Lepisosteus oculatus: one gene and its partner. The protein of the gene in region 1 purifies or fractionates together with the protein of each later gene. This does not show direct contact. Links are inferred from orthologs where the notes say so. Each region holds a gene or a part of one and is shown in the gene's direction. Other genes may lie near its edges.

What was found.
Region 2: the proteins of caspase-3-like (region 1) and cryabb purify together in Homo sapiens (affinity purification with western blotting; 3 studies listed by BioGRID). This does not show direct contact. The link is inferred for Lepisosteus oculatus from reciprocal best matches to the Homo sapiens genes CASP3 and CRYAB.

The regions. Positions count from the first base shown.
Region 1 is NC_090696.1:75,470,080-75,486,450, reverse strand, and holds the start of caspase-3-like, read left to right. Parts: upstream 1-8,646; 5' UTR 8,647-8,861; intron 8,862-9,488; exon of another isoform or gene 9,489-9,770; intron 9,771-11,434; 5' UTR 11,435-11,439; coding exon 11,440-11,513; intron 11,514-12,971; coding exon 12,972-13,105; intron 13,106-14,064; coding exon 14,065-14,193; intron 14,194-14,648; coding exon 14,649-14,824; intron 14,825-16,201; coding exon 16,202-16,319; intron 16,320-16,371. Other genes in the region: primpol (DNA-directed primase/polymerase protein), read right to left, coding at 483-773, 2,356-2,402, 2,486-2,568, 3,152-3,260, 3,355-3,441, 4,012-4,097, 4,639-4,801, 4,972-5,262 and 4 more. UniProt on the Homo sapiens protein: Thiol protease that acts as a major effector caspase involved in the execution phase of apoptosis. Following cleavage and activation by initiator caspases (CASP8, CASP9 and/or CASP10), mediates execution of apoptosis by catalyzing cleavage of many proteins.
Region 2 is NC_090718.1:15,353,914-15,370,257, forward strand, and holds cryabb (crystallin, alpha B, b), read left to right. Parts: upstream 1-8,877; 5' UTR 8,878-9,034; coding exon 9,035-9,223; intron 9,224-10,514; coding exon 10,515-10,637; intron 10,638-10,813; coding exon 10,814-11,017; 3' UTR 11,018-12,464; coding exon of another isoform or gene 12,465-12,486; 3' UTR 12,487-12,672; downstream 12,673-16,344. Other genes in the region: uncharacterized protein, read right to left, coding at 18-43, 568-608, 1,401-1,432; hspb2 (heat shock protein beta-2), read right to left, coding at 3,583-4,016, 6,046-6,139; cfap68 (cilia- and flagella-associated protein 68), read right to left, coding at 12,470-12,486, 13,307-13,490, 14,531-14,603, 15,077-15,333. UniProt on the Homo sapiens protein: May contribute to the transparency and refractive index of the lens. Has chaperone-like activity, preventing aggregation of various proteins under a wide range of stress conditions.

The DNA.
Region 1 (16,371 bases):
AGTGACCTTTGCAGTATCATATTCAGCAGTTAAATGTTGCAACTATACAGGAACAGAATTGAATAAAACCCACCATAACCTCTTCAACCTTGTATCGCCATGTAGTTAATTTAATAAAGTTTCTGTAATGGTTTAAAGAAAGGGGTGAAATCTGTTATTCATTCATTTTAGCCTGATTAAGGAGTGCCATTTTCTTTCAGATTGAGCGTGTAGTCCAGTTGTTACAGTGTGATAATCAGGTGGAAGGATGAGATAACAGATTCCAAAGGCTATACAGGTGTTTGTGTCCTCTCCTTGGTGATACACTTCCTCTGTTCAAGGTGAGGTGCCTGGGGAACAGCACTGGAATCAGTAATTATTAACAAGGTGCTCCTAGATAAAGGCAGGTGCCATATCTTTTACATGGTCAAAAGGTATGACCAAAGTGAAGGAGGCTCCTTTCTCCAAGCATGTGCGCACCCATCATATAACACATACTAATCTCACCGAGCCTGAGACTCGTATTCAATGAGGGTGTCCAGTAAAAGTTCGTCTGGGATTTCGTCGGCCAGTGTTGCTCCGGGGCGGGGCGGCTCGCCGGGCAGGAAGGCCCTCAGCTCCACCTCCTCCAGCGCCTGCAGGCAAGCCTGGTCGTCAGGGCCGGGCTCCCAGCCTGCGGCCCGGCCAGTGGGCTCCACCGACGCACACGGGCCGCCTGCCTCGGCGGCGTGACGCCCCTGGCTTGGCACGATGTTCCCAGCTTCGTCCATCGTGAACGCAAAATCATTTTCATCCTTGGGAAAAACAAAGAAAGGGGTCACTTACTTATACAAGCTGAAGAGCATGAGCTAGCCAGCACTCCATCCACTCTGTCACTTTGCTTTGATCCGCTCCCACAAAACATCCACAACCCCACTCCCCTGAAAGATTAGTCCGCTAGCATGGGGAGTGAGAAGGCTCTGGAGAGACTTGGAGAGTGGCGTTACCAGAAACAGTCACATAGGTGGCCTAGGATCCGATGCACATGCTCAGGTGACGTTCCTGAAATGATCGTTTTCTCAAGTGTGAGAAATAACCCAAACCCCAGCTCTAACCTGAGCTCATACTTCTGAGCTCATGTTACAACTGCTGGAGCCCAGATGACTTCGGTAACTATTATTCTGTTGTAACAATACGCACCACTGTTTTGTTTATGCATCACGTAGCCTAGATGAATGTTTTAAGGTTGCCACGTAAGACCCCCTTCACACAGCCTGAACTACGCTTCTGCGAAACTGTATTCTGAAACAGGCGTGGTAATAATGACAAAAGAGTGCATGTAACTTTGTGAGCTACTCCGCCACAGCGATCCTGACAGATCACACACACTGCAGTTTTCGCTTCCCCAATACTCCTTCTTTCAAACCTGAATTGAGGATTTAATACAAAGCAGTTCCCCTGAATTAACTTGCGCTCTTATGCCATTTCCCCTCCTTGTTTTCTGGATAAGAATGCAAAATGTCCAACCCAGAACATTATATGAAGCTTATGTGCAGTATTAGTGGTTCATTTCTTCATTTATATGGAGCTTTTCTGGGAGGAGTATATCCACCACTGAAGTACAGCACCCATCTGGGTGGCATACAGCAGCCCTACCACACAGCTGCTCAGGCGAAGTGAGAAATAAGAGAAGATCACTTCATTGGCCATATACAATTACTTGTAGTAGGAATTTATGGTGACTTTACCAACTGAATAAAGAGGGCACCGCAGGTAGACTAGATCAGACAAACGCAAAGTGGAATTGAACCACAACGCTGCAGTTAAACCCTACTCTTATGAACAGCAGAGATCATCAGTCAGGACCTCAGTTTAATGTCTCACCTGAAGAAAGACCCCAGACAGCGACCCCAGTCACCTACTGAAGCGTTGATTTGGAGATTCTGGGCTAAAGGGAGTTGCCACCACACCCAGTAAGCACTCTGGATTACAAGGTGTGTTTTAAAGGAAATAAAAATGGAAACTGTTCTGGAAATCGAGCTGGAATTTCCAATTCAGCTAAATTAATGAGAGGTTAAATAACCTAACTTCATCCTGTCTGCGCCTCTTCAGGCAAGGAAAGTATTCCACTATTACACCAACTGTAAAAATCACTGCAGCCCAACATTGCCATCTTATCAGCCGCCATTATGGCGCACACTGTGCCAATGAAAATGTAAACACTCAGGACACGTTTATTATGCGCGGACACTATGCGAGGCCAAAAACTAACGGTGGGATAATGAGCAGGCACTCACTTCATGCCAAAGTGAACAACGCCGGCGAGGTTGAATTCAACACGAGAGCAATCATTAACAGTGCAAGCGGGAAGGGAGAACGTTTTCACCATTTACTGACCTCCTTCACGAGGTAGCCGAGACACACCTCACGGGGCAAGGGCAAACCTGTGGGAGAGACAGCAATAAAAATCACATCTGGAACAGACAGCGCGGGGGCCGTAGAGGAGCCTCTGCTCGTGGGAACCTACTTGGAGATCTGTAATTCTCACTCCTGCACACAGGGTCGTGGCACTTCTGATACCAGACCTCCTCCTTCAGATCCACCAGGATCCTGGAAGGGAGACCAGATTTGGATGCATTAACCTAGAGACGCACAACATCCTTCGGAACGGTTTCCTCTCCAAACCGACCGCGGCCTCTCTGATCCGCCATCCAGTGAAACCCTCTTCAGAGACGAGCAGTGAAACCCGATATCCGGGCGGTGTTTTTTCATTTCCGATTCAAAGCTACACACGGGCGCTTGCAGTAGTTTCTTCGTAAGCGTGCGTGTTGGCGTCTGATGTAAATATGCATGGTGGGGGGGGGTGATTTTTGTCAAGTCCTTCTGAAGCCAGAGGCTGTATCGCTCAGAAGTCTCCCTGCGGCACAGACTGTTGCATTGTGGATGTTTTCCATTTCCTAAAGGTTTTTAGTCAAATTTGAAAGTTGTTCCTTGCTGGTGTAGAGGGGTAGAATGCTTCCATGCTCACAGTACAGCCAGTATTAACTACAGGATACAGAGACATGGAACTCAGTGGAGCACAGCAGGGTGAATGGCCTCCCCTTTCTGTATATTGCATGCAGAAGTGTGCTACAGACCCCTTCAGAAACAGAAATGTAAATGGTTGAAGAAAAACAACAGAGGTACCACTTACATGATATTGTTGCTTTTATGGAACCTGCCTACATTTTGGCACCAGCGATACTTGGAGATGTCATAAACCAGAAGTTCCTCAGAGGAAAAGTAATTCCACTGCCGTATGGCTGTTCAGGAGCAAAAACAAGACAACACTATCTCAGGTCTTGATCTCCTTACACCCATTGCAGTGTGAGTGTTTAAAGGATAAAGAGGCCTTACTGCCTTCAATGCCATCTTTGTTCACCAGAGAGAGCACAAAGTTGTCCACTTCTATGTAAGGAGAATACTGACATCCACCAACAGACCCTACAAACAAATTAAAAGAAATAATTCAGATAAGAAAGAATTCAAGTTCAAATCAATGAAAACACTAAATTTCTGTATGTTTACAGTTTTAAAAACATCTTTAAACAATTACTTTGGTACCATTTTGTACCTACATTAGTATGTTACATGGTTAAATGAAAATATAAATAATGCCATCACATTTGTGGTCTTTGTGGTCATTAAAAATCCCAGGGCGCTTCTCGAAAAGAGTAGGGGTGTAACCCCGGTGTCCTGGCCAAATTTCCAATTGGCCCTTACTAATCATGGCCTCCTAATAATCCCCTTCTATGAATTGGCTACATTACTCTGCTCTCCTTCCCACTGATAGCTGATGTGTGGTGAGCGTTCTGGCGCACTATGGCTGCCGTCGCATCATCCAGGTGGATGCTGCACATTGGTGGTGGTGGAGGGGAGTCCCCATTACCTGTAAAGCGCTTTGAGTGGAGTGTCCAGAAAAGCGCTATATAAGTGTAAGCAATTATTATTATTATTATTATTATTTCCATTTCTAAACATTAATTTCAAGTCCTCCAGACTAAGACACATTACCTGATTTGGGAACTGCTGTATGAATGCACTTTGTTTTTGTAGCCTCGGGAACATCACAAGTTAGAATAATCAGACCATCTGAGAACCTAGTGTAGAGACAATAAAACAAAGTTACATACTAATACTGTATATCCCATCTTCCAATAAAATCAGACTGAACCTTTTATTGTTTTCTACTTTAAAGTCATTTTCATATATTTCATATATGTAAGCAGACTTCTGAAAGAACTAGTTTATTCTTTTAGCTTGGCCAGTAGCTACACCATTGTGAAACCTGACATCACATTTTGAATGACACTGGGATTAGAGTTGCCTACAAACTATTTTGTACGCTTTTCAAAAACTTTACAAACAAAACATATCCTTTCACTCTGTGACACACAAAATCTTGTGGCACACTTAAAAAGAATGGTCAGAAATCCCTAATGATTTCTGACTGAACAGCCAGGATTAAAGCCGATTCCCTGGGAACTTTCAAGAAAGCAGCCGAAGGAGATCCTTGGATCAGTAAGCTACTAGAAACCACTGCCTGACTGGGACTGAATGGGATAAATGACTTCCTCTCATTTGTAACCCAACTGGATGCAAGTGTCTTTGATTTCACCAAAGAATTACGAAGAGCAGTACCGAACATTGCTGACGAGGGAGGCGAGAAATATTTGTTCTTCGTGAGACAGGTGCTTCTGAGGCCTGGGGACAAATGTGTTGTCCTCCGCTACACTGAAGGCAACGTTCTTCCCAGCTTTGGAAGATTTGTACAGGCGGAAATTTCTGTTCTTTGTGTACACTCCTAACAGGGAAGGAGGACAGCAATAGATGAGTAACTCTTCAAAGTGAGGGGTATGCAATTCATAAGGCAGTCACAGTCTGTAAACTGATAGATACTTCAGAGCGCCGCGTGTAAGACCCAGAAAAAGCCGTCGGTGTTTGCAAACGGAAGCCGAACAATGTTATTCATACCGACATCAACAAAGAGCTGATCCTGTCCATCTCTGTCTTTCACGAAGAGAAACAGCAGGCCCCCAGCCTGAGGAGATGGGGAGGTTGGACCCTCCCCGGTTCTCTGTCTCTTGGGATATGGATTCCTCAGCCTCTCAGCCTCCGGTTCCTGCCCAGGTCCAAAAGACGGAAGAGGGGATTGGCTGCTTGCAGGCTGTCCATTGCTCTCCAGGTGGGTTTCTGTCACCAGACGGTGTCTTCTCCTTCTCAGCTCCTCCAGCGCTGGCTTTAACACCTTGTGGACAAAATGGCCTTCAAGTGGAAAATGAGACCAGTAAGAACGTAATATCACACCGAGAAACGTCACACTGCTTTATAATTCAAAAACTAAAAAAAAAAAAAAAAAGGAGTTAAGTGATCTAAAGACCTAATGAGACAGGCAGACACACGACACCAGAGAATTAGCAGAATAATGGTGTAAGCTGGGCTTGTCTTGTTTTTTTAGAAGTTCACACAGCGCTACAATTCTTTACAGGTGTGACCCAAAACTTGAGGCGATTTTGCATTACATTTTCACAGAATTATAAGCCAAGTTAACAGGGTATTTGGTCATTAATTATCTGAGGCTGCAATACAAACAAATCACCAGAAATTATCTAAATACATACCAACGTGTATATTGTCTTTAAAAGCTGCATTCGGAACAAGGAATATTAGATGTCGACTGAACTTTTCTTCTGTGCTGGAATCCAAATTCAGAACATCATCCCTGGAGATTTTAATTCCATATTCCTCTTCCAATTTCAGACATACATACTAGGACACAAGATAAACCACAGATCAGTTTAAAATCAGTGCAAAGAAGGTCTTGTCTGGGACATGCTCACATCCAGGGTCCGGGAGCCCGCAGCCAAAGCCCTGGGGTGTCTTCTCTTGCCACTGCTGCTGCAGCTTCCCGCAAGGACTTCATCTCAATGGGGCTTTTTGACTTCACAAACATGCATGAAAATCAGGCACTCCTCATAGCTGCCAGAGTACCGTGGGCATCTTATTACCCTGTCTTCCTGTCTTTCCACACCATTTGCATACACTACAGCCCTAGTGAAGTGACTCTGCACAGCTCAGCGCAAGGGTTTCAGACCCTTCTCTCCTCGGTTAGAAACATAAGAGGATAATGAAACGCTGTAACTTTCGCTCACACACTCTGAATTAAGAAACCTTTTGTGAACTGGACCTGTAATACGTCTGTGCTGCTCCTACGCCGTGAAGACCGCTGGCTCCATACCTGAATAAAAAACGCCACCATCTGTTTTCCATCCCGACCTTCGTTCGAGGGCCTGTGGAACTCCAAATCGAAGTACAGCTTGCACACTGCACCTTCGGGGATGACCTCATAGCAGTGCATTAGAGACCGCCTGTAAGTCCTGGGGTGAAAACCAAAACACGCTGTGCTGGCAGCAGACCAATTTGTGCAAACAGCTCTGAGTGTGTAATGTGACATGAAAGCTTTTGAACAATAAGTTGTAGTCCCTTGAATTTATTTGCTATATATTCACACACTAGATACAGTACATGAAATAAAAGTAGGCCGCTTCACAAAATATTAGAACTTCGATCTACTGTATGTGGCTAACAAAGACTGCTCTTGAAAACAGTGTAGAGAATTTTTTTTACCAGCATCATGACTGTTTTAAGGGAATAATAATTAGGCATCTTTGTTTTTTCGGGACTTGATCATATTGCCCTCAAAGTTGTATTCATATCTGAGCAAGGTCCAGATCGTCACAGGTGTACAATTAGGCGTCTGGTTATACGACTACTTCTCCGCCATCAGTGAAACAAAGAGCGCAGGACACCAGCGGGAAGTACGCGGAAGGACATCCAGAACTCGGAGAAGGAGCCGCCAGTTTACACAGAGGGATGGGGCAGTCGGCAACACGCCAGCCCGTCGCGCTGATGAAGTCGCCACCCTGGCTTCATTCCCCGCCGTGCCTGGAGCAGTTATCCCACAGCAGCTACGCGGGCTCCCCAGACCGGACGCCCCCCCCCTCTCCCGTCACGGGACTCACCTGTAGTAGTGCCAGAGCTCGGCATACGTGGTCACCAGGTAGATCCTCTGCCCGGCCTCGGTGGGGCCGTTCTCCAGCGCGAACACGTGGACACCCTTCGGGGGGCAGAAGCACACGGAAGCTTCACGCCCTGTTTCACAGCAGATCGCGCTCCGACTCCCCCCCCCAGACGAAACGGCCCCGCCGACCCCGGCCCCTCACCTCCGCGCGGCTCTTGGCGAAAGCGAAGGCCAGGCCCTGGCGGGGGAAAACCCGCCACAGAGTAGACGGCTGCCAGGGCCTGGACAGCCTGGGCTTGTACGGCGAGGACAGGGGCCAGTGCTGGTACCACTCGGCCCGGCACGCCACCCTCCTCACCCTTTCGCCCCACTCCTGCCTGATCATCCCTCACCAGCAGGGCGGCGCCGGGGAGACACCCTGGAGAGCGGCCGAGAACAGGAGACGATCAGCTCCCGCGCAGCACATCAACCTGGGTGATAAACTCCTCCATCTGCCCTCTTCCCCAGGTCATGGGGATCCCCTCCACCCCCAGCAGTGTGCAGCCCCACCTGGATGAGGCGCCAGTCCGCTCCCCACACCCCAGCTCTCAGTGGGGAGGAGAGCAGAGTGAGGGAGCCAGTTCAGAGAGGGAGGTTATTAGGAGGCCATGAGGAGTAAACGCCAATGGGAAATTTGACAAGGACGCCGGGTAACTAATACTGGTCATAGAAATATTTTTTTTTCCCCACAGGGAGGAGAAAAAAAATGAATGATTTCCACCACTCCCATAGTATATAAACACAAACACTTCACAGATAGTTACACTGACCTGGATTAACAGCACAGGTCACCTTGACCTGGAAGAAAACGGCAAGACAGATGAAACGCAGGCGTGCCTCCTTTTACGTTTTGAAGATGTTTTGAAGATGGACGACAGCTCACAGTTAGGCTGGGTCGCACTGTAAACTCCTGTCCGCCTATTGAGCTCTGAAGAGGCATTATTTAAAAAACGGAAGCCTTACAATTCTTGCTTGAAGAATAAATAATGTCCAATTAAGCAATTCAAACAAGTTGGCTAAATACACTGTCAAATGCAAAGGGACCGATACAAGAATATAAAACACCCCGAAAAGACGACACCCGACTTTAAGGTTTATCTAGACCTCATCATAAGAAGATATCAAGCGTCTGACGATCATTTTTCCTTTACATTTATATCAATTATATCATTTTATATATAAATATTAGGTCTCCTCGTCACGTCTCGTATGTGCGTTCACAGAAAGGTATAGTAAATACACACATACTGTACTTACCGAGGGCCCAAGTTTTTTTTTTAATTTCGGCTATTATTATTAATAATAATAATAACACACTGCAAACTCTCTCTGGGTAACAAATTAACCCACAGACGCTGCCTGCAATGTTTGTGTCTCCTTTTCCTTAAAGTTGCCGCCCTTTTGCACAGTTTCCGTTTCGTGGCCCGGCGGCTGGGAGATGTAGTTTTTTTTTTTAATTCGTTTTTATATGTCGGTTTTTTTAAAAAATTTTACGTAAAAAAAAACGCGAAGGGTGGAGCTCAATACCACCACATCGTGGCTCTTAAAACTACACAAAAGAAACAAAAACTCGACGGTGCTTGTAGGGCGGTCCTTCTCCTTTGCGGTCTTTTGTTGTTGTATGTGTGTGTGTGTTAGTTTCACGGCCCGTTTCAAAAAGCGGGGAGGTGTTGTGAGCCATATAAAAAAAAAAACAGATATTCAAACTGCGACCCAACCTTTGAAACGGGGAAAAAAAAAGAAAGTGAACCCGCAGAAGATTTAAGTTTTTGACAAGAGCAGTGTGGAGCAGAGAGCCGCAAACGTAAGTCTTTCTTTATTTTGCTTATTACTAGCTGGAAATTGTGGTTCGTATTTTTATTATTTGTTTTTATTATTATTATTAACAACCACCCCGTGTCAGTTTAAGTTATATTCATTCCCTCGTCGTCCCGAGTTTTGATGTAAAACCATATGCACTTGTGATACAAGTTTCTTTCGTTACCGGAAAAAAAAAAGGTCTTCGGAAAAGTGATCGATTATTTTGTTTCATACCAAAACACGAGTTCGAGTCGCCTGGATGTGGACGGTGAAAATATTCAACTGTTGTTTACAAACTTGTCAAGATATAGACGGAGTCTCTGCCATGAAGCTGTTATTATATCGGCAGACTTGGGCTTGAAATTGCACAGGTATTTCATGTCGAGAATGAGCTGCTAACAGCTGGTATTGACTTGTTTGGTCAGTGTCATTCAGTGGACGTTTGGTCTTTCCTAACCGGAGCATTTAAAGGGTATTTCGGTCCTTTTTTTAAAAAAAAAAAATCTCCCTCACGTTCAAGATTGCAATATTTGATTTGTATTAAAGAATATACAGACCACAGACAAACAGCCGGACGCCTCTTGCTTTAATTGCACATCTGTCAAAACGAGAAAAAAATAAACTGGCTTACCAAGTAGAAAGATAAAGCCGTGATTTTGAATTATTTGACGTTTCCACTGTGTTTTGATGTGGCTGTTTTAAAGCACTTGATTCACTCGTGGGTGGGTACAATGTTTCCTGTAAGTTTTAGGTTTTCCTCGAACATATCGCTCACTTCCTGAACTTGTTTTTTTTTAAATAATAATTCCTCCATCGAAGGGGATATCTTGCTCGTGTTCAAAAACACTGTGTTCATCAGGGGACAAACTTTGGAAATAAAAAGAATTCTTCAGATTTGCAAGTAACGTTTTGTTCTGGCAGGATGTTTAAACTTGAAGTGAGCTTTTAGAGGAGTCAGTGTTTGAATAGGAAGATGACTGTTTTGCACTACCTTGCTGCTGACTAAGCTATGCCACGGCTGGTGTGTCAAGTAGGTTTTAATTCCAGCACAGCTTTTCACAGAGAAAATATCAGTATATTATTAGAATGATTTGGCTAGATCGGATCAATCAATCAAGCTGATCAGAGTTCTTCAGGTGCTTCTACACATACTATATAAACCCTCCCGAGTCCAGGCTGGACATCCCTGCTGTAGGCACTCAAATTTCAATGAGTCACGGTGCGATGTAATTCTACCTCAAGGGCAATACCTACCTCTGCCTATTAAACTAATGTCTAATGCTTTTGCTTAATTGTCAAGATGCCCAAATAATTCAAACAAAAGCAAACATAAACGAATAAATGTGCATCCTTCTGTTGAATTCTAAGAATTGTCTTCAAAATCCTTTCCTGGTGGAAATGTACGTTTTCCTTCTTGTCCCACACAAATATAAAAATTCCCTTGGATTTTAACATCTTTTTTTAGAAAAGCAGGATTTGACATCACAAAGTTGTAATTATATTATTTCTTTTTCGTTTAACTTTGAGTCTAATTTTTTTTTCTCTGGGTTTTTTTTTAAAGTTTTGAGGGAAATACCAATTTGTTGTCATGTGTGAAATGACGAGGCCATGGAAAACGTTTGTGTGTGCCCCGGTTCCTCATGAATTTCTGTTGGAACCCCTCTGGGACATTACAGTATCATCCTTCCTTAATTGTGATATTTTGCTGGAAAACGGGGCTTCTTTTCCCCCAGCTCAACCCGACCATGAACAGGCCCAGTAATGTGTGACAGTAAACCAGGCCATAATGCCTACATTGCATCTAGCATTATACTGTACAGTTAAGGAACAAGTAATAGGTTTATTCCATGCTGAAAAGAGAAGAAAGAAAACACAACGTTTCAGCTGTGGAGCCCTCTCTTGGTGTGAGCCTTCTTCCTTACACCTGAAGAAGGCTCCACGGCCGAAACGTTGTGTTCTCTTTCTTCTTTTTTTTCAGCATGGAATAAACCTATTACTTGTTCCTTTGCAGCCTACGCATGCTGACGCAGCTGCCCACCTGAACTACTATACAGTTATACTGTTCATAAATTCATCCTTTTTTGTCTTAAAGCCAAAACAGTTAGGATCCCTGCAGTAGTACACAAACTAATGGGGGGGGTGATATTTCTTCGTATTTCATCAGGCTGTGTAAATTTTTAAAACTCCTGGAGGGTGGGTGGAGGGGGTTCTTTTGTCCGCCGGCCGGCGTGTGTGAGGTCATCGCCTCGCGGGCTCGAGGGAGTTACGGGCTCCAGCCTGCTCTTGACAGGCGATGACGTCATCGAGCCCGGCCCTTGGCAGCGCGGGCTGCTATTGGCCGAGCAGGCGGTTAGCAACACAGAGCAGGCAGGCAGGCAGGCAGGCAGGCAGGCAGGCAGGCAGGCAGGCAGGCAGGCGTATGTGTATGTGTATGTGTATGTGTATGTGTATGCATGCATGCGTGTGTGTGTCTGTACAGTATGTATGTGTGTCTGTGTGTGAGCTGCCACTGGCGAAACCAGTGACTGAGCGGAGCCCCAGGTGAGCTTTGTGGTCCGCTTGTTTCCCTCGGTCTAGGGACGATGTCTGAGGCGACGGAACCCGTTCGAGGCGCCGGAGGAGATGCTGTGGACGCCAAGCCGGCCAGTGCCCCCCAGTAAGACTTTCTTCCGTCCAGTCTGCAAAGCCGTTGCGCTGCGTGAAACACCGGGTGCCCTTTGAACAGTACTGTCACGACTCTTGTCACGTGTGAAGAGACCCTTATACGCGAGTTATTTATGTAGTTCGGTGTTCTTTGAAGAGAGATTATTAAATAACGTTCGTATTATAGGCTGCGTGCTTTCAGTTTCTTTTGTGTTTGAACGTCGAAGACTTGTTGAATCAAGAAACAATATCTCTCTGCATTGATACCTGGATGTGGTCAGTTCTCTTCAACGAGAGAGTTTGTTTGTTTTTTTTAGATGGAAATGACTTCATTTAATTTGAGTTAGGCCGATCTGTGTTTATCTCCATGTGTGACACACATACCCCCCACACCATAGTAGCAGATAGATTCTCGAAATTGTATCATGTCGAATGTATTTTTGGCCATATGGAATCCTGTTCCATTAGACATGCAGGAGATTAATGTTATTGTACACTGAAAATAAAAACCATATCATGTATTTCAAAGCAAAATCAGCTCGCAGATAACAAAACACTTCTTTTCTTGGTATCTCTAAGAAAGAAAAGAGGAACATAAGGACACTTATAAATGAACTTGAACTTAATCGCCATATGTAACTGGTACATGTACTGGTACGATGGAATTCTTACTCACAGAAAGTCTCTGAAAGCACAAAAACACAAAGTGCAGAAAGTGCACAAAATGAGAGGCGGTCTTTCAGGCCAGACTACCGTTGGGTCGTTGGTAGTTTATTGATCTCAGGATCTCATCCACCAGGGAATTGGCTTCAATAACTCCATGTCCTATTCCCCCAGGTCCTTTGAGTGAAGAAGCTCCTCCTGTTCTTGCGTTTAAATGCCCTTTCCTGTACTGTAGTTTCCACTGGTGTCCTCTGGGCTGGGGCTTCACTGTTCATTCTGAGGTCGATTCTGAAGCCTTGTGTCGGGTCCCCACGTAGTGCTCTTCACCGTTCAGACATACAGAGTTCCCGTTCCCTCCGCCTGGTCAGTGCGGGACACTGCTTTAAGCCCCAGAACGTATCCAGGCTGTGCGGCCGACTGGTCCTTTTGGCTCTGGGTCCAGTGTTGATGGTGAAAAGGTCCCTGGTGTCTTTTCTAGAACCCTCTCTATGCGGAGGTTTCTGTTTTAAGACGCTGCACTCTTTCTAAAAAATAAGATCTGCTCATAGGAACTAACAGCGAATGTAAAGGAAGTTATTGGTATGTCTACGTTTTTCATGTCCGAGCTGCTGCTGCTGTGAAGTTCTATATCGGCTCTCCTGTGTGTGGCGTTCCGGTGAATTTACTTTTTTCAATGTTATGAATTTGAATGCCGTCATTATGAATGTAATTTGGGGTGGACGTATGCGGTGTTTGCTAGCAGGACGTAAACGCTGACTGAAAGAATCCTTTGTGCGAGTCATTAACGATGGATTCATGCTTTCTCCAGCCAGGGTCCCGCAGTTCCACCTAAGCAGGTGGACGCCAAGCAACATGACTCCCACACGTACAGATATAAAATGAACTACCCACACCTTGGCCAATGCATCATCATTAACAACAAGAACTTTGATAAAAAGACAGGTAACAACTGCATGGGGTTTGTGTTTTCTTTCTGCTGAGAAATTACAATTCAGCATTGTTCATTTGAACGAGAGCAAACAAGAGGTTTGCTACGAAGGGTGATGCTACAAGTGGATGGTTTTATGGAGCACTGCAGATTTCTGTGCTGTTAAAATAGAGGCATGTTTATCGTAAGCATGTCCAAACACTGTTTTTCTTCATTTTGAGCTGTATTACTAAGCTTTGTTTTCCAGCTGCACAGTGTTTTTAAGGTATTTATTTTGAAATAGAATAAAAGCTTTTGGATATTTGAATGGAAATATGAGTTAAACTCAAGGAAGTGAAGTTAAATTTTGTGCAGGGATCTTTGCAGGTTCCTTGGGTTTGGGTGCTTATTATATCTCGCCCATAGTATCCACTTCGCCGCTCCGGACTGATGAATAAATATATAACCAGACTCAGAATGTTTGCATGTGTTCTCAGGAAGAGGACATTAGTTATTCGAGATTGTGTGCGGTGCACTTGAGTGACTTTTGTTTCATAAGAGAGGGAATCTTTTCCTGCTGTTTCTTGGAAGGACCCAGGATGTTGGCTTCAACGCCGCAGTTGGGACCCTTGTGCCAGACCCCCCCAGTCCGTTGTGTAAAGAAGCTCTTCCTGTTCTCAGATTGAAATGGCCAGCTCCCTAGTTTCCACTTGCGTTCTCTGGCTCAGATTCGTTTCTGTGTCACTCTGATCAGTTGAAGGTAGATTCAGGTAGATTCCTTACAGTCTTATGCAGTTGGAAGTGTTATCATTCAGTACATTTCAATCTTGCGTGGTGTGGGATCCCTTTCTACATACAGTGAATGAATTTTTGTTAAGCTTGTTCTGACATGAATTGTAAATGTCTTGTCTCTTGATATTGGGTTGTGGTACGGGCCGACCCACTTGTATAGTGGAATCGCTGTAACAGCTTGCCTTGCTTTATTTCTTTACAGGAATGAATATCCGCAATGGAACGGACGTGGATGCTGGGAATATGATGAAGGTGTTTAAAATGCTGGGATACAGCGTCAGGGTTGTCAATGACCAGACTTGTGCACAGATGGAGACGTGCCTGCAGTCGAGTGAGTGCTGACCTCGCCGCTTCCCAGCGCAGTGCACGTAACAGCCACGGCTGTGCTCATCAGGCTTGCAGCTCTTTTTCTTCCTCTCTTCCCAGCAGCGTTCAGTCACTGAACTGCAAGCAGCCCCAGCTCTGTTTAGTCCCACGCAGTCGCTTTCGTTTCCGGACCGTGTTCAGGTTTAGTGCAGGTGAGCAGTCTGGGAGGAGAGAGGCAAGGTAACTGGGAGATCTCCCCCAGCCGAGCTTCTGTCTCGGAGCGCTGCTCTCGGCCGGGCGGGGTGGCGCGGGAAAACGGGGTTCAGAGCTTCTCCCACTGTGAAGCCCCCCGGGGGGGCCCGTTCTCAGGCTCGTGGTGGGATAGAAGCAGGGGTTAAAGGCCCGTGCGGCGGGCCGAGGGAGTTTCTCGGGCCGGGCCGGTGGCCGCGCTCTCACCCCGCCGTCTCTCCGCGGCTGCAGTCTCCAGGGAGGACCACAGCAAGGCGGCCTCCTTCGTGTGCGTGCTGCTGAGCCACGGTGACGAGGGCGTGCTGTTCGGGACGGACGGCTGCCTGGAGATCAAGAAGCTGGCGGGCTACTTCCGGGGGGACCGCTGCAGGACGCTGGTGGGCAAGCCCAAGCTGTTCTTCATCCAGGTACAGGGGGCCCGGCCCGGGGCCCGGCGGCTGCACCCGCAACACCGCCGAGTTTCGTTCTCTTCTTCTTCTTCCTACCTACCTACCTACCTACCTAAGACGCGGCTCGTGTTGGATGAAGTCTGCGCTGAATCGAAGCGGGCTCGAGCCTTGCGCTCCGTTTCTTGACCGTGCTGCCTAATCTGTCCCTGTGGAAATGGTCCGGGGAGGGGGGGTAGACTCAGTATCTCTCTTCGTCTGTCCTGAGCGAGTTACGCTGCCCTGAACCGTTTCCTAACGGGAGGTGGACACGGGCAGCGGTTTTGAAAGCCCTCCAGCGAAATGATGTTTTGATCGGTTTGTGCTTACCGGGTAGGTAGAGAGTGTTTGTTGCACTCTCTCCACAGCATAGATCTCCACAAAGCTGCTACCTAAGCAAACCACAGAGACGAATGCTGATCACTTGAGGGGTTGATATTTAAGTTGCGTTCTTCACCCCTTTCTTCTGCAGAAGAGTCTGTAATAGGTAACGTTATGTAGTTGTTTCTTTTTTAATTTAGAATTGCAAATTGCAGTTTCTGGGCTTGTATATTATTTCATAGTCGACATAGTCAATAGTTAAGTGCCAGACCTGGGGTGCCGTCTGCAGAGAGTTAGTGTGCTCTTTCCGTGTGTTCACATGAGTTTCCTCGGGGTGCTCTGGTTTCCTCCCACAGTCCGAAAAACATTCTGGTAGGTTACTTGCTTATGGGAACATTGGCCCTGGTGTGAGAGTGTGCGTGTCTGTGTGTCTGTCCGCCCTGTGATTGACCAGTGTCCAGTGCAGGGAGTATCCAGACTTGCACGCCCTATTTGCTGGTTTAGGCTCCGTCTGCCCTGTGGCCCTGTACTGGAAGAAGGAGTAGGAAAATGGATGAATGGGCGGATTATTTTGTTTATGCAAATTACAAGGGGGGTAAACAGACAGACATGCACACTCTCACACCAGGGCCAATGTTCCCCTAATGAATACCAGTCCACAGGCAAATGAATTCCATGGAAGTTATCTTTTATCAGAAAACCACTTATTCCTGTGGGAGTCACTATGTGGGACCCATACAGACCGCAGGGTGAGCGCCCCCTGCTGGGCCCACTAACACCACTTCCAGCAGCAGTTTTTAGCTTTTCCCAGGAGGTCTCCCACCAAGGATACTGACCAGGCTCACACCTGCTGAGCTTCAGTGGGCTGCCAGCTGGGAGTTGCAGGGTGACGTGGCTGCTGGCTACATGAATCAACAGGACTGCTGTCGAATACCTTGGCCTGCAGCACTGCAGAAGGAAATGGACGTACTTGTGCAGCCAGAGGCTGAAGATGAAGTGTAATGGTTGGTCTGTTCTGCGTTGTGTTGCTGTTGTCAGGCCTGCAGAGGTACCAGCCTGGATGGGGGCATTGAAACGGATGCCCTTGGTGATGATAACAGCTCAGAGAAGCTCCCCGTGGAGGCTGACTTCCTGTATGCGTACTCCACAGCCCCAGGTACACTTCCTGCTCTGATCACGGTCTCTTTTAGGCGCGGTGCAGACACGGC
Region 2 (16,344 bases), on another chromosome or scaffold:
GACACTTGTTACCAAACCTGTTGTGAGAGGTCAGCCTTTCCATCTGTAAGGGAAACGGAAAATACACAAATATGACATGATTTGCACCTGTGGATAATGGCACAGATGCAGCCTGGCTTGTTGGATAAAAAGCTCATCTTCATCGTGCTCTGTCCTTGAGCACCAGTGACATCAGAGGCCACTCTACCCATCAGCACCAGTGATGTCATCAAACTCTCTGCCCTTCAGTGTCTATGTGCCACAAAGACATACCACTGGTTTAAAGCTGCTTCTACCTGGAGGAACACATGAGTGTTTGTCAAAGCTGTGCTGCTGTGTCTCCTACTCTCCAGGACAGGCCTTGCACCTGACACACCTGCAGCAGGGTGCTGCTCTGTGGGCTTCTTCACCCCCTTGCTAGGTAACTCCTCCAGGGCCCGCTGCTTCAGTCAGACCTGGGAGTGCTGAGCCTCTGGCCAGCCTTGGGCAGCGATTTCTGCAGCTCCGTCCCCAGTTAGGCACATCTTTCTTCCTGAATACTGCAAGATGACTGTGCCACACAATTTCCTTAAAACAAAAAAAACTCACCTTTCTTTTGATCTTTTTTATTTGGAGACTTCAGCCCCCGCCTAAAATGCAACAGAAACATATCATTGAATCAATCGGTAGTCCAGAGTTATCCAAAACAGATTGACGACGGACGATGAAATTGTTCAGCATTCACATCCGGCTGCAGGCTGTCTGGATCACCGACATGTTACAGGGACGGTAAGAGAGCTCTTCTGGTACCTGTTCTGATCGGCCCGGCCGACAGGTGGGGAGGTCCAGCCAAGAGCAGAATATCACAGCGTCGCTGGGAAGAATGAGATTCACTGCGAGAAAGGGCTTCTTCTGCGGGCCCGTGTAACAACACCCAGCTCCCACCACCGAAACGCACACGCGAAGGGAGCTGCTTAACTCCGTCGACTCTGTTTAACTGGGCTACTGGCCTGTAGTCACACACAGCTAGTTCACCCCCAGAGCGCCGTCGAGCATCGCCGACTTCAGGTCAGCGCTAGGAGTTACGACCACTCCCGCACCACGGAGCTTCTCGGTACTCACGAAGAAACTCAAAACGTTCGTCGCGTTTTGTTTTACAACTACGCTTCTAATTCTCAGCCCGACGTTTTTTGTTGTTGTTGTTATTTTTACTTTACCATGTGTTTAATGTAAGTAAAAAAGATGTATCCAGGAAACCAACACGGCTCTCGGAAACAACAGCTGTGTCAACAAGCAGCGCTGAGAGAAACACGGCGGAACAGCCCCGGTTTGTTGGTTGAAAAGGGCGACGCAGGTTTCTCACACAACACCTAGCAGGTGCCAAAACTCTCCTCCAAAAAAAAAACAGTCGGGAAAAAAGAGAGTTAAAACGTGAAACTTACTTATCCACTCCTTTGGTAATACGGTTTCCCATAACAATTCATGCTTTTTAAGGTCTGACTCAAAAGAGGTCGGAGTTATTCCGTTTCCTTGTTCCCAGTTCTTGAAAGTCACGACACATTCCCGCACAGGTGCAGCGCTCTGGCATGCTAACAGCGCCCCCCTGCGGTCAAGATAAGCACAGCACTAAAGCCGTGAAGTCTTTTTAAATACCACACCGAAATCACCCCCTGGCGACATGACATTAGTGTTTATCGAAACAGAAGGCTGTTGTTTAATGATACCCTGAAAAAAAAAAGCAAAATAAGAACCGACCACAGTGGCGTTTTTTAAATCTTCAGTTGGGTGGGAAGTTATTTTGGGAACTTGTGAATAAAAACAGCTACTTTCCCAGTTAGGTCTTGTTTTTTCTCACGAAAAGTTTTTTTTTTCTCTCTTAGGCTAATGAGTGACTTATGAACAGCCCGTTTTTCCTCAGGGTCAGAGAAGACCTCTCTCTCTCTCTCCCAGCCTGCTCAGCTGTAGGGTATGTGCACAAGGCCAAAACACTGTTATGACACGGTCAGACTACAGTAAATGTCTTGGCTGGATTCTTCCTGGTCTTTCTATATAAATCAGCTACCCCAGCACCTAAAGGTCAAATCAAAAAGGTCGAATCAGCTTCTCTTCTTTTCCTGTCTTCGCCAGGCTGAGTTGCCTGCTTAGGGATAGTCTGCAGAGTGCACAGAATTTGGTCCAAGGAGCGCAGTTTCCACACAGCAACAATACACAGTGGTCTGAGACTTCTCCTTCCTTCTCTGTTGGCTGTTGTTCTCCTCCTCGGATGTGTTTCCACTTTGGGTGCGTTTATGTCACTGCTGGAGATATGAAAGACTAAGAGCCTTTTCCACACACTCATAAGGCACTGTCTTTTTCACACTGTGCCTTTCTCATAGTGAACTCCCTATGGGGAAGCCACCATCTTGGCTCAGACCATGGTATAGCCTTGAGCCAAGATGGTAGCTGAATATGGCGTAATGGCAGGGGGGTGTTGAATCAGACACACCTGGGCATTGGTAGGTATGAAGTTGTTGAAAATTCTAGTAAAAACTTGGATAATCGCCTAAATCTGCTTCCACTCATAGTCTTCTGTGTTTAAAGATTTAAAAAATGTTAATTTTTGGCCTGCCATTGTAAAACATTCCCTTCAGCCTACAAATGTATGTGATTGATTCCAGAGCAGGAGTGTTCTTTTTTGTAATGCTGTGACCACAGTTTACACAGTACTCTGAATGAGCCCCTGCTAGTGTGGCTCAGAGGAGCACTACATTTCTGCAGGTGCACATGAGGCCAGATCAGTGGACAGTGAGTCTGGTCTGATCAGTGGGCAGTGAGTCTGGTCTGATCAGTGGGCAGTGAGTCTGGTCTGATCAGTGGGCAGTGAGTCTGGTCTGATCAGTGGGCAGTGAGTCTGGTCTGATCAGTGGATAGTGATTCAGACCAGGAGATGAGAGGCTTTTTTCAGCAGCTGCCCAGTCATTATTTCCACTTCACAGCTGAGTTTATTTTTTGATGGAGGGAAATACATGTCTTTAACTGGTGAAGGGTACTATAAAGATTACCCTATTAACTAGTCAAACACATTCATGCATAACAAGTGGTTCTTCCTATTGACAAATAAGAGTTTCCTGTTGTCATTTTGTAAGAATAATAGATTTATTAATGTAATGCAATAATACAACATCCGCTGCCAACTTCTCAGGCATGCTTTCCTATCCAGGACACAACACAGCCCTGAGGGCTATTACACACCCACACTGGAGTCTGCTCATCAGGAAATAAAACACACGCCTCCTTTCAAAGAACATGATGCACAGCTTGAGTGATTAGACATCCTAGAAATATCAGCAGGCTTGCCAACACCCCAGGCCTCCAGCAGGACTGCAGGTTCTCCAGCCCTGCCCCAGCCACACCCAGCCTCGCATAGCCCTGCCCCAACCACACCTACCCCGCCCTACCACACCCCAACCCGGCCCCAGCCACACCCAGCCTCGCCTAGCCCCTCCCCAACCACACTCAACCCCGCCCCAGGCACACCCAGCCTCACCTAGCCCCTCCCCAGCCCCGCCCAGCCCCGCCCAGCCCCTCCCCAGCCCCTCCCCAGCCCCGCCCAGCCCCGCCCAGCCCTGCCAGTGTGGGAGGGGTTCACGTGCTCTTCCCCGCCTCCTTGTGCTGCTTCTCCCCGCCCTCCACTCGGACTTGGAGCTCGCGGACGGTGGGCTTGACATCCGCAGCCTTCCGGGGCGCCTCGGCGCACAGGACGCCGTCGTGGGAGAGGGTGACCTGCACCAGGAGCGGGTCGACGCCCAGCGGCAGGATGTAGGTGCGGCTGAACTGGCGGCTGACGAAGCCGTGCTGGTCCAGCCGCTGGGCGTGTTGACCGCTCACCTCCAGCAGGTTGTCCACGGTGCGGACCGCGATCTCGTCCGGCGTGAACTGGCACACGTCCAGCAGCACGCGGAACCAGTCGTCGCCGCTGTCCACCTGCGAGAAGCCCCGCTCCAGCTGCTTGTTGAGCCGCGGGCGGATGTAGTAGCCGTGGTACAGGGTGGGGGCCAGGACGTCCTGAGGCGACAGGCCTGGGGGCGAGAGAGAGCAGCTTCGGCAGGCCAGGCTCAACCTGGGAGCTGGGAGCTGGGAGCTGCAGGGTGACATAGCTGCTGCCATGTTGCACACTGTTTGTTGGCAATAAACAAGAAAAAATCATTCTCGTAATAAAGGATTTACAATTGAGTATGGTGTATGTGCAATTATTTGTGTAATAACAGAGTCAGGACGCTGGCAATGCGCCTCTGTAAGGCTGTGTACAATGTCTCTTCGCTTGTAGCAGATCCTTTTTCTAAACGTTCACAGACGACACTGGTCAGGGACATGTCTCTTTTACCAGAGTAAACCACCTGCCAAGCACAAAGGCTCTGATGCTATTTTGCAGGCCTGCTTCAGAGCCATTACAAAGGAAAGTCATGGTGTGCACTTAATGTATTGATTTTAATATGTTATTTTAATACAGTCAATACATTTCTCACAAATTCCATTCCCTTTGGCACGACGAGACTTCCTCGTCCCCCGCAGAGGACGGGTTCGGAACCTGAGACCCACACTGGGGCAGATGCAAGCCCCTGTCTTTGGGGGGATGGGTCGGTCGCGGGGAGCAGGTGAGGCCCCTGTCAAGCCAGGGTTTCAATCCGGCTGACCCTGGGGTGACCAGCGCGATCCCTCAGCTTCTACTCCTCCTCTGGAGTCTGGATTCGCCGGCGAGAAACAGGCTGAACAAAGGCAGCCCTGCGTGTCTTTTGATAGGGGTGTCAATGTGCTGCCAGGCTGGCTGCTCTGTTCCCAAGACCTCCAGGGTTGTAGGAGGGCAGTTTATTTTCGGGCTGGGCCGGGGAATTCCCCTCCGCCGCCAGACGTCTGTTTTTATTTCCCTCTCAGCCTTTTACTCCTTCATGCTCCGCTGCCACAGAGCAGGAGGCCAAAACAAAGGGAAACTCTCTCCAAGAGTCTAAAGGAAGTTAGGCGAGAGACAAGCCGAAGTTCACAGCTTCTACCACCAGGGGGTGCTCTGCACACATGCCTCTTCGGCCTCTTGAGGAACGAGGCTGGTGCGGCTCATGGGAGGGCGATGTCCGTGACAGCTCTGCCTGGGCCCCCGACAGCAGGAGAGGTCAGGGGCAGGTCGATCTGTCACTTCCCTCTCACGTCAGCACCTCGCCAGCTCCAAGGGGCAATCCGACTGAGACTCGGAGCCCGTGAGCCTGCCTGCCTGCATCCTTACCTCATCACATGCAACTTTCAAGTAATGTCCAGTTATCTATCATGCCCACATACAGGCCTTCAATACCCTGGTACAGTTTTAAGAGCTTTTTAAGCTTTTGGCAAGAATCTAATCCAATTTAATAGCCTCATACAAGCTACAGTCATTTAGTAAAATGTTTAAGATAAGATCACTTTTTTCACCCTATACAGTTTTTTGTATTAGGAATTTGTCTTTTCGCATACTCCAGCTTGCTCTCCATGAGACACACAGACAGGGAGAGAAGCTTGGGGTCGGAGCACAGCCATTTATACAGCACCCCTAGAGCAGTTGGGGTTAAGGGCCTCGCTCGGGGGCCCAACGGAGTAGGATTCCTCCACTGGTCACAGGATTCGAACCAGCAACCTTCCAGCCACAGGCACAGCTCCTCAGCCACAGAGCCACCGCACTGCCCTGCTTCCGCACTTTGTGGACTTGAACCCAGACCATCAGCGACTGCAGATTTGAACCCAGAGCCCAGTGACCACAGACCAGCGCGCTAGATCAGATCATTTGTGTTCCTTCTTCTTGTGGGTCGGTTCTTGGTGAATTTGTTTTTGCTCAGAATGGATGGAGATTTAAGTTTTGTGCAGGAACAGAAAAGGTTGTGAAGCCCCTCTGTGTGCCCAGCTGTTGTGAAGCCCCTCTGTGTGCCCAGCTGTTTAATAGCCCCTCTGTGTTCCTTCTTTCACTCTGAAGAAAAGCGTCCAGTTCCACCAGGACAGGGCGCTGTTGACTTGTGCAGTTCCATGGTTCCACCGCACACACGCCGACCCGACGCACGATCACGAGCCCAGCACAGCGGGAGGCCTTACCTTCCCCGAAGTTCTGGTCGTAGATGCGGCAGGGAGACGCCATCTCGTACTCCACACTCATGGGGTACGCGTGAGGAACGGTGCGCTCCGACATCCCAGCGAGCTGCGAGGGCACGGCGGCTCAGTTCCTCGCGGAAACGACTGGCAGGGTCTGCAGAGAGAGTCGGGGAGAGAGAGAGTGACTGTGTGCCTGTGTTTGCATGGGGCTGATAAAGAGGCCAGAAATAGCCCGGTCACAGACACTCCAAAGGAGACATCATAACTACAAATAAATCCAGAGACAAATACGCCACTGGGATCTCTGATGGATCAGTTTAAAATGGCCCACAGGGACAGGCCAGTCCTGCCTGGACAGACCGGCTGGCAGGGCTCTTGTCTGCGATTCCGAGACGGGATATTACATCTCACCAAGAGCAGCCTGGGACGATTTATTTGAAGGATTAGAAATGCGTGGAATAATTTTGCACTTACTGCAGTACGTCACGACTGGGAGAAGCACTGCAGGCCACAGTGGGACCTGGCTTTGTGTGGAGCTGTGGGAACTGTGATGATGTTACCAGCCTGGTACTGTCAGCACTCTGCTGAATACGGCCCTTCGAACGACAAGGTTGCGAGTGGAATGAAAAGCTGAACCCTCCCGGTAGAGAAAGTGTAAGGAAATACATCTCCCCCCATTCCTGGACCTAAGAATAAGCCCACAGCTCTCAGAGGATATTATATATCACCTAGCTGACCCTGCGGGGTCCGCGGGTGGAGCCCCACACTGCCGCGGACGTCCGAGAGGACGCCGAACTCCAGCCTGTCTCCAGCCGACACCGCCTGTCTCTGCCCTGTTTACAAGACGGCTATTGAGCTCTGCCCCAGGCCTTGCCAAGTCTGGCATCGCCCTGGGGCAGGGGGGAAGTCGAGCGGCTGATTAACAGGCTGCTCTTCTGATGTTTCTCTGGGTGAGGGCGGGGGGGCGACGCCTTTTGTGCACAGCGGAGCAAAGTCACGACAGCAGCAGTTTGCCTCTGCGTGATTCATTTACATGAAAAGTTCAAAGTGAAAGCTGTGTCTTTCTCATATGCATATGATATGAACTGTGCAATATTTCTTTATGTGTATCATACCTGTTGTGAGTATTGACCTGCCCAGGGCTGCACTCCTGTCTTCTGTGGTTCCTGTACATATCAAGTGTGATGTCAGTGCTGGGGCCCCTCCTGGTGATGGAGTGTACTTATTTTGGGCACTACAGGGTGTCCAGGGGTCTAGGCAAGAGTTCTGTCAGGTCCAGGAAGCTCTAGGAGGCTAGTGAATGTGTACAGTATCACAGCAGCTCGTATCTTCTGAAGGAGAAGGCCTTAGAAGTGCAGGGGTGTCAGACTCAGTGACTAAATGATGTCACCAGGTGTAGGCACGTTAACAATAGCGACAATGATCAGGTCAAATCCCACTTCTTTCATGGTTGGATGATAATTCTCTTGACTACAGCAGGTCCCAGGTGAAGGAAGTCCCGAGTGCTTTTTTGTTCATTTTGAATTCTGTTTGCCTTTCCTAGAATAATGTGGCGGGGCTCTTACAGTGATTGTGGCTCTGACTGACACACCAGGGGATGCTAACAGTCCAGCATTCTGGGAGCTGAGTGTTTGGTGATCCGTCAACAGGCCCCTGCAGGTCTCCAGAACTCCACAGAGCTCTACAGTGTTGTTATTGCTGCTCTGCTGATGGCTGCTACTGCTGTTAGCAGCTGTTGCGGGCTGAAGTGGCCTACTGTCCAGTCTACACATCCAGAGAGGTGTTAACATAAGTATTGGCCGAAATATTGTCCAAAATCTGAGCAGGGGGTTCAGAATGGAATAGAGGTGCTTAGTTCCCTTCTTCATGGGAACCAGGGACGAAACAATTTAAAGTAGCCAATCAAGCTCAAGCACGGGGGGGCATGCAGACTCCACACAGACTGATTCCCTAAAGTTGGACACAAACCCGACTCGAGATCTGTGAGGCCACAGTGCCACCCGCTAGTAGATCCTCTTACCCTCCATTGATGCCCTAATAAAAGTGCATTGTGGTTGACTGTGGTGACAGTACAGAGTAGTGAAGTACAGTACAGCTACTGTGCAGCATTAGGTGGTGCTTATCAAAGCATATCCACAGGCACGTACTCTATAGGGAAGATCAGAAATGTCTCGCAAATTTGCTGTTGTAGAATTTCTCAAGTATGAGAGGTAGCTGTGAAAAGCACTCATCACCATACTGTGAAGAACAGCTTTGATAGAGAGTTTAATACCTGCACACATAAAGGACATCTTGAGTGGAGAAGCTGACTAAATAAATGAATGAAGGACCTGCAAAGGCTGGTGCTGTGTCCTGGAGCAGAGGCAGCCTGCGCTGGGCTGCCAGGGGTGGTTTATCCCGGGGCTTGACTCTGCACACAGGGTGCCCTGCCTGCGCCTGGGCAAACACACCCACCAGAGCCTTTGATCCGGCCTGGAGCCTCCCTGGACAAACAGGAGTCAGGGCAGGCGGGGGAGAGGGGCACCGGAGCGCGGCGGAAATAATCCCACCGGCACGCGGGGCAGCCGGAGGAAGAGAGGCCAAGCCCGAGGAGTGCGCGCCAAAAACCGAAACCCGTCTGACAGACGAGCCGGGTCCTGGCGCTGGCCGTGCAGGCACACACAGAAAACCGCGCACCAGCACAAAAGGAGACTTTCCAGCGCTGCGCGCACGGGGGCATCAGCACTATTTAAAATCCCCCAGAACAATCGCAGGGCCGCTTGCCTGAATGAAATCGGACTGCCAGTAATCACGTAAACACACACGGACTGGCACTTGCAGGGGGAGAGGGCGAGCGGGGGAGACGGTTTACATCACCGTTCCAGAAAGTTCAAGAGGAGGGTGGCAGGCTGGCACAGGCTGGTGGGGCGGCTATATAAGTGAGCTGAGGGCCAGAGGCACAGCAGGAGCGGCACGGCAGCAGCAGGCACAGAGTGCGCCCAGCCCAGCCAGCATGGACATCGCCATCCAGCGCCCCTGGTTTCGCCGCCCCCTCTTCTCCTCGTTGTTCCCCGTCCGGATCTTTGAGCAGAACTTCGGGGAGCACATCCCAGAGAGCGAGCTGCTCGCCCCCTTCCCCCTGATGTACTGGCCCCGGGCCTCCTTCCGCGGTGCCAGCTGGATGGACGGCGGCCTGTCAGAGGTGAGGGCCGGGCCTGTTGCGGGTTGACCGTCGACTAACCTTCCAGAGCCAAAGCTCCAGAATTCTCCAGAAGACAAAAGAGACAATCTCTGACTTTTCACAGGTTTGCTGCAGGACCTATAGCTTCTTTCCTACAGAGGAATGTTTTCAAAACTAGCTGTGAAAACCTTAATATTTTGCTAAGTCTTTACTAAACTAAACCGTTGCACGTATGACATATTGAGACCAAGGGCTTGTGGGATATGGAGACCAAGGCTTGAAATCCTTGAGGTGGGAGAGAAAAGGCTTGGAAGGGGGTGTTTTTGTCTGTGAGAGCAGGATGGCCAGGAATGTGACAGCAGGGAAGAGCGCAGCAGATATTGAGACGTCGTATCCACAGCGTCACCAGCACTAGGATCAAGCGCAGTGAAACAGGAGCTGCTGCTCTGCTGTGGGGGGCTGGGTGCTGGCGTTGACGTGGGCACTGAAGTCAGGGAGGAAACGGTGGGGTGTCTCTGGCTCTCTCACACATGAGTCCTGGGGCTCAGTGTCCTGACCTGCTCCGATTCCTGGGGATCCCGTGATGAGGTTCCCTCTGTGTCACGCGAGTCCCTCCCTACTGTGGCAACATTTTCTTGGTAGCATGTTAAAACTTTATTCCTCATAAAACGATCACCAGCTCAAATACCTGAGCCCTGTTAGTTTAAGACAAAAAACCCTGTAGTTTGATGAAACACTCACTCGACAAAGAAAGTGACTCCAACAGTTCGGACATGAAACCAGTACAGCACAGATGATGTGAGCTGTTCCTTTAAGTCCGTCGGCGGGCGCGTGCACATGTTGGCCTCTGAATGTTTAGAATTGCTTCCCGCTGCCTGCAGCCAGCTCAGCCCAGCACCATGCCCTCTGTGTTCGCTGCGAGGTGTCACAATGTGACCCATGGGAGGAATCTCAGAGCGCAGTGCAAACTGCCCACTCCCCCACTCAGCTGACTCCCAGGGTCAGAGCTGCTCTTTCAGACTGCAGAGCGCTCGTCTGTAACCTTCAGCCGCCTAGAAAACCAGCCCTAAAATACCTCTTGGAATTAACCTGCTAAAGCTGGAATTGGTCACACTTAAGAGGCGCTTTGTCAGCTTGTGGCTCTAAGAGAAAGAAACAGATACCTGTATGAATCCTTCTGTTTAATAATGAGGCACACCTGATGGCTCAATGCCCTGCCCTGTGACGGGGATGCTGACCTGTGTGCATGTGAGCAGCCCAGGCTGCACAGGTGTGTTTTTGTGTGCTGACCCTGCTTCCTCCTGGCCGGCAGATGCGTCTGGACAAGGACAGGTTCGCAATCCACCTGGACGTCAAGCACTTCTCCCCCGAGGAGCTGTCCGTCAAGGTCAACGGCGACTTCATCGAGATCCGTGGGAAGCACGAGGACCGCCAGGTAGGGGAACACCCTCCCTCCCTGCCTCTCCATCCCCCTTTTCTCCTGCCTCCTCCCGGCTCCTGCCCTGTCTCCCTGGCCCTCCCCTCTCCACTCTCTCTTTCTCTGCTCCCCTCCTGCAGTCTCCCGGGGTCCAGCCTGCCCTCCAGCGTGCCTTGTGTCTTTCCCTTCGGCAGGATGAGCACGGCTATGTGTCTCGGGAGTTCCACAGGAAGTACAGGATCCCAGGAGGGGTCGAGCCGGGCTCCATCACCTCCTCGCTGTCCGCCGATGGCGTGCTGACGATCAGCGCCACGCGCAACCTGTCCGAAGTGGCCGAGCGCACCATCCCCATCACCCGCGACGACAAGCCCGCTGGGGCTGCGCCGCAGAAGAAGTAGACTTCCTTCTCCCCCGCCCCTTCGCCCTCCCTGGCTCCTCGCCACTGCCACCCCACCACCACCGCCCCGTCTTCCTCGACCCCGGCACCCGCTGAGCCACGGGAAGTGAAGAGAGCCCCCCCCTGCATTTACAGGCAGGGGATAGGACCCCACTCATCCTCCATTACTCAGAAAGGGTGGGCTCATGGAATTCGCTGCTACATCAGGGCCTCTGTCCTCCTAGCTTGCTGAGTAAAATCAAACACGCTGCAGAACAGCTGAATGAGCAAGGGAAGGAGCAGACAAAGGCACACTGAGTGCAGGGCCCTGGTGCAGCTGGACCAGTCAGTCCCTTGAGGAAGGGGGAAAAGGTCCACAGAGTGACAGACGAGCCTCTGTGAAGTCAGCTACTGATCGTGCCTCAAAGACACAAAAACAGTTCAAGGAAGTAGGACAATCTTAGGGAACTTGTGCGTGTAGAAACGCCATGCCCTTAAGTGGGCAGGGTTTATGTGCAGAAGCGAGCCCCGTGACAGAGCACAGGAGCGCTCCAGAGCAGTTTGTAGCTGGAGCTGTGGGGACCATTGCCTCTCTGAGAGTGTGAACCAGATCCTGTGTTCTTGTACAGTCAGGTACCTTGTACCTGAAGGGCAGTTACACTGCAGGGGTGTTGGCAAATCCCAGTCAAGAACGCAGGTATCGGCTTCAGGAAAATCCCCGCTCCACCCAGCTCAAAGGCTGAGGCATTAGGTTTACCGCAGCAGTTGTCTGGAAAATGGTTGCTGAATTTTTTACTTACAGACTTGAAAAAGACCAAAGGAGTGACTGAATAAGTAGTCTGACTTCACAGAGGAGTTAATGACAGGTTCTCTGATAAAATTCTCTTGTTTTTGTATATACTGAAAAGCATTTAAAGTGCAACAAAACACTATTGATTCCAAAACTCATTTGATGCATTTTTAATGCCTCCCTGTATATATTAAAGCACTTTGCTGTAAGTGTAACGCACCTGCCTTCAGTGTGTTTTGACGCTGCTCACATGGCAGTGGTCAAGAGGGAAGTGGGTGTTTTCCCAGTAGAAGCCAGGCCTCTGGTTTGGACACTGGCCCAGATGCACTCTGTGATAACCACAAGGTATACACAGAGGTGTCGCAGCTGCGTGTATTGGTGACTGGGACACAGAAGGCACTTAAAACAAGGCCACTTGAGGCAGAAAACAGCCAATGAGACAAGAACATGATATCAAAACTTTTATTGTAGAATGGGCCCACAAAATCTGGAAAAGTAGAAGCAGAAAGGAAACCAGATGGGAACAACAGCATATCTTCCAGTGATGTAAAGAAGTGCACAACTTATCCCTTGCAGGGGCTCAGTTGTAGTCTGTTGTCCGACAGCCCTGCAGTGTCTGTGCTGTCTGCTCTTTCCTGCAGCCGGTGAGTGGGCTCGGCTCGGCTCGGCTCGGCTCGGCTCAGCTCAGCGGTCGGGCACTCCTGTGTCGGGTTCAGGTTCGTGGACAGGGAGGGGGCAGTGTTGTTTAAAAAGATCCTGCTTATTCATTTTCTATTTTGTCGTGGTCGCTGCCTAACCTTTCATTCCTGAGACCCCATATAGAGCAGCCAGAGCTCAATTAACACTTGAGTTTCTTAAATGTTCAAGAATAAATCGTTTCAACCACATGGGTGGCTCTTTCGTTCTTTTGTTGTTTATTTTTTCTGCTGTCTGCGTTTGAATCCCATGTTTTCTCCATATTGCAGCCTCAGGACAGCAGTCTTCAGTCCTGGGGCTGAAGAGACTCACAGAATGTTCTAATTTTAATTCCAGAGGAGTTGCCAATATCTTAATTTAGGCCGGTTACTTGCAGAATCACTACATGTAAACTTGTACTCAAGGTGTCTGCCTGCTGTTTATAGCTCCTTATGAACTCTGCAGGGCAGAAATTCACCAGGACCGTAGAACCCTGAATTAAAAAATGTTTGTGCTAGAAAAACCTATATTAACCCTTTTAAACTACACATTGCAGCAGACAACACCCTTCTTATTGGAGGACACGAAAAGGAAGTCTATGCCCATCAACACTTCATGGGGGCGTGGCTACAGAGTTTCCCCAACACACACCTGTTCTGCACTGGACCTCACTGCGATTATACCACAAGGTCCCATTTCGCCACACCATCCATCCACAAGTCCACTTGCACACATGAAGAACATTGCACAACTGCTTCTCTTCACTTTATCACACTCTTAGTCCCACTTTCACATCTGCGGTTTGTCGGGATATACGGTACACTGTACTCAGCCTGCACACTTTACCCCCAGCAGGTGGAGCTCTGTGAGCTATTACTCTGCTGCCCTGCCTGCGTCCCTCTCTGCGCCTGCAGGTGTGGGGCTGGGTCTCTGAAGTCGTGCCGGTAGCAGGAGTCGGGGACGGGCTTTGTGTGCAGGGGATCCAGCTCAGGCTGGTGTCCCGGGAAGCAGCGGGGTTCCCTCTTTGTACCTGCAAAGCAGAGACCTGTGTCAGCATTTGAGGAACATGGCGGTGTGACTCCAGGCCTGGCAGGTCACCAGAGGGTCTTCAGATTGTCAGTCTAGCTCTTAATTGTCTGTCTAGAATAATCAGTCGGCTCATCTGACTTTTTCAGAAGACTATGAAAACCCCATAACTTGCACCCACCAGCACAGTGGGTCCTGGGTTCAACTGTGCACTGGGGCACCTTCTGTGTGGAGTTTGCACGTTCTCCCTAAAGCTGGATTACTTAGTGCCTCCAAATTGTGTCTGTGTGTGTGACTGTGTGTGTGTATGTGTATGTGTCTGTGTGGGTGACTGTCTGTGTGACTGGGTATTCTGTGTGTACATGTCTGCGTGTGTATATGTGTCTGTGTGTGTGACTATCTGTGTGAGTGCATGTACGTGTCTGTGTGTGTGTGACTGAGAATGTGTATGAGCCCGTGTGTGTGTCTGCATGTAAGAATATCTGTGTGTGTTACTGTGTATCTATCTGTGTGTGTGGCTCTGTATCTGTCTATGTGTGTCTGTGTGTGTGTACGTGTCTGTGTGTGTGTCTGCATTTGTGTACTTGACTGTGTGTGTGATTGTCTGTGTCTGCATGTGTGTACGTGTCTATTTGTGTGACTGTGTATCTGTCTTTGTGTGTTTAATGTGTGTGTGAGTGACCTGAGAAGGACAGGTGCCCCTTCCCAGGCTGCAGCCCTGCCTTGTGCCCTTGCTTCATGAACACTCTGTGACCCATGCTGGGAGTTTTCTGATAGTGGATAGGTGGACACACCTCTATTCTACTGAATTTCTACAGGAAACTCTATACACTTATGGCGTAGCCCACCCTGGGGATCTCTGGAGGCTCTGCAATTCCCCCAAAGACATTCTACAGCACCTGTTTCCCCAAGAGTCTGAGTCTCGCAGCAGGCAGCCATGACCTGATCAGCCTCAGCTGCCGAGACGAGACTCAGGGGCGCGACCAGAAGGGGTCGTTACAGGCAGGGGTCTCAGGTGCTGAAGAGAAGGGAGCAGGAACTTACCAGGATCACGCGGGGGGGGCTGTCGGCCTCGGTCATACGTGGAGGAATACGTCGTCTCAAAATAGTGAGCGAACTGCCAAAAGAGAGGAGATGTGGCTCAGCCTGAGAACCCGGGGGGAGGTACCCCCGAGAAACTCCTGTGGCGTGTGTGTTGAGTGCCAGGAATGGAGGGGGGTGGGCCTTGTGCTGTGAGGAGCACGGGGACTTCTGGGCTGCACTGTGACAGTCCTGAAAAGAACGCTTTCGCCACAGTAGGTGTGGATATTTTGAGTGGTCAGTCACACGGTTGCTCATCTCAGAGCTTTCTTCCCTCTGGAAGATTGTGAGCAAAATTCTCAACTTGGCCTGGAGGGCTGACGGTAAATCACAGGGTTGAGCCAATAGTATTCAGGTCCAGAACACTGCGTGCCTGGTATAGCTCTCTTTTTACATCTTTTTTCTTTTTACAAAACAAAGAACTTTAATGAAATGGTTTGTACGGGTGTTTAAAAACAACATTTTTCAGAAACTATCCAGGTGGCGCCCCCTGCCCCCACGGCCACACACCCTGGGGGTAAGGCCCAGACTTGGCCCACCTGGGAGGGCAGGGGCCGGCGGCGGGCCAGGGCGCGGGTGTCGCGGCGCTCCTCGGCCCAGTTGCCCACCAGGGTGGCGGGGGAGTAGGCGTCCTCGCCGGTGCCGCGGCGCCAGCCGTACTGCCGGAAGGTGGCGTCGGCGTCCCAGTCGCGCCACACCTCCCCGTGGCCCGCGGCGCGCGGTGCGCAGAGGGAGGGCGCGTCGGGCTGCTGCCATGGCGACGACATCCCGCAGCCCTCGGGAGGAGACACAGGAATCACCGGCAACAAACAGGGCATTGCTTTTTTTAAACTCTTGATTTGAGCAACAGAAGGAAATACAATACCGACAAGATCCATAACATCGGCAGGGGTACATAATACAAGCCCATGCAGTGAGAAAGTAGGGTGGGGGCGGCGAGGGCACAAGCCCTGGAACCCGAATCCGGTACAATAACGAAAGGACAGACGATGAAATATTTCGAAGTCGCAAATGTGAGATATAAAGTCGTAATTCTGAGATATAAAGTCGCAATTCTGAGTTTCTAAGTCGCGGTTCTGAGTTACTAAGTCGCAATTCTGATTTACCATAGCGCGTTATTTTTACTCTCTGGCGGAAACGGGCTTCCATAGTCTTTACTGGGCAAATTCGATTAACTAAATAAGTCACTGCGGTAACTTCCCAGAAGCACACGTCAATGAACTCCCACGCTCTTCGCTGCACTTAAACGAGCAGTGTGGCGAGACGGTGCCGGCAGCGCAGTCAACCTGCTCACTCGCCTGGGAAAAAGGCCGATCCGGCTCCGAGGACAAACAACGGTTACTAACCTCAGGCTACGATAACCGACAACACCTATAACCGTCATAAATACTTAATAATATATCGACATTATGCATGACTAAATAATAGATAAATCGTACTTTCGTATGAGCTGCTATCACGGAGATCGCGACTGGGTCTCCCGCAACTCGCTCTTCCTTCTGAGTTAGTCCCACGCAGCGTCACCGCGAGTTTGCCTCTGAATTTGTCTGATTTTCCTGTTTTCAGAAGCGAGGCGATTCTGTCCAGTTTTGCAGCTGACGAGCACACTGGAAACCCTGCAGCAGCGCCAGCGTTACTGCCGGACCGTGACGACGAGGAGCAAGTCTGATCTCCCCCGGATTTCGTTAGTGTAGTGGGACTTTTTGCATCGTATTTTGTTACCGACGGGGCACTTCAGCATAGGTGACTCCCATTCCCAGTGAGAAAAGCCGACAGCT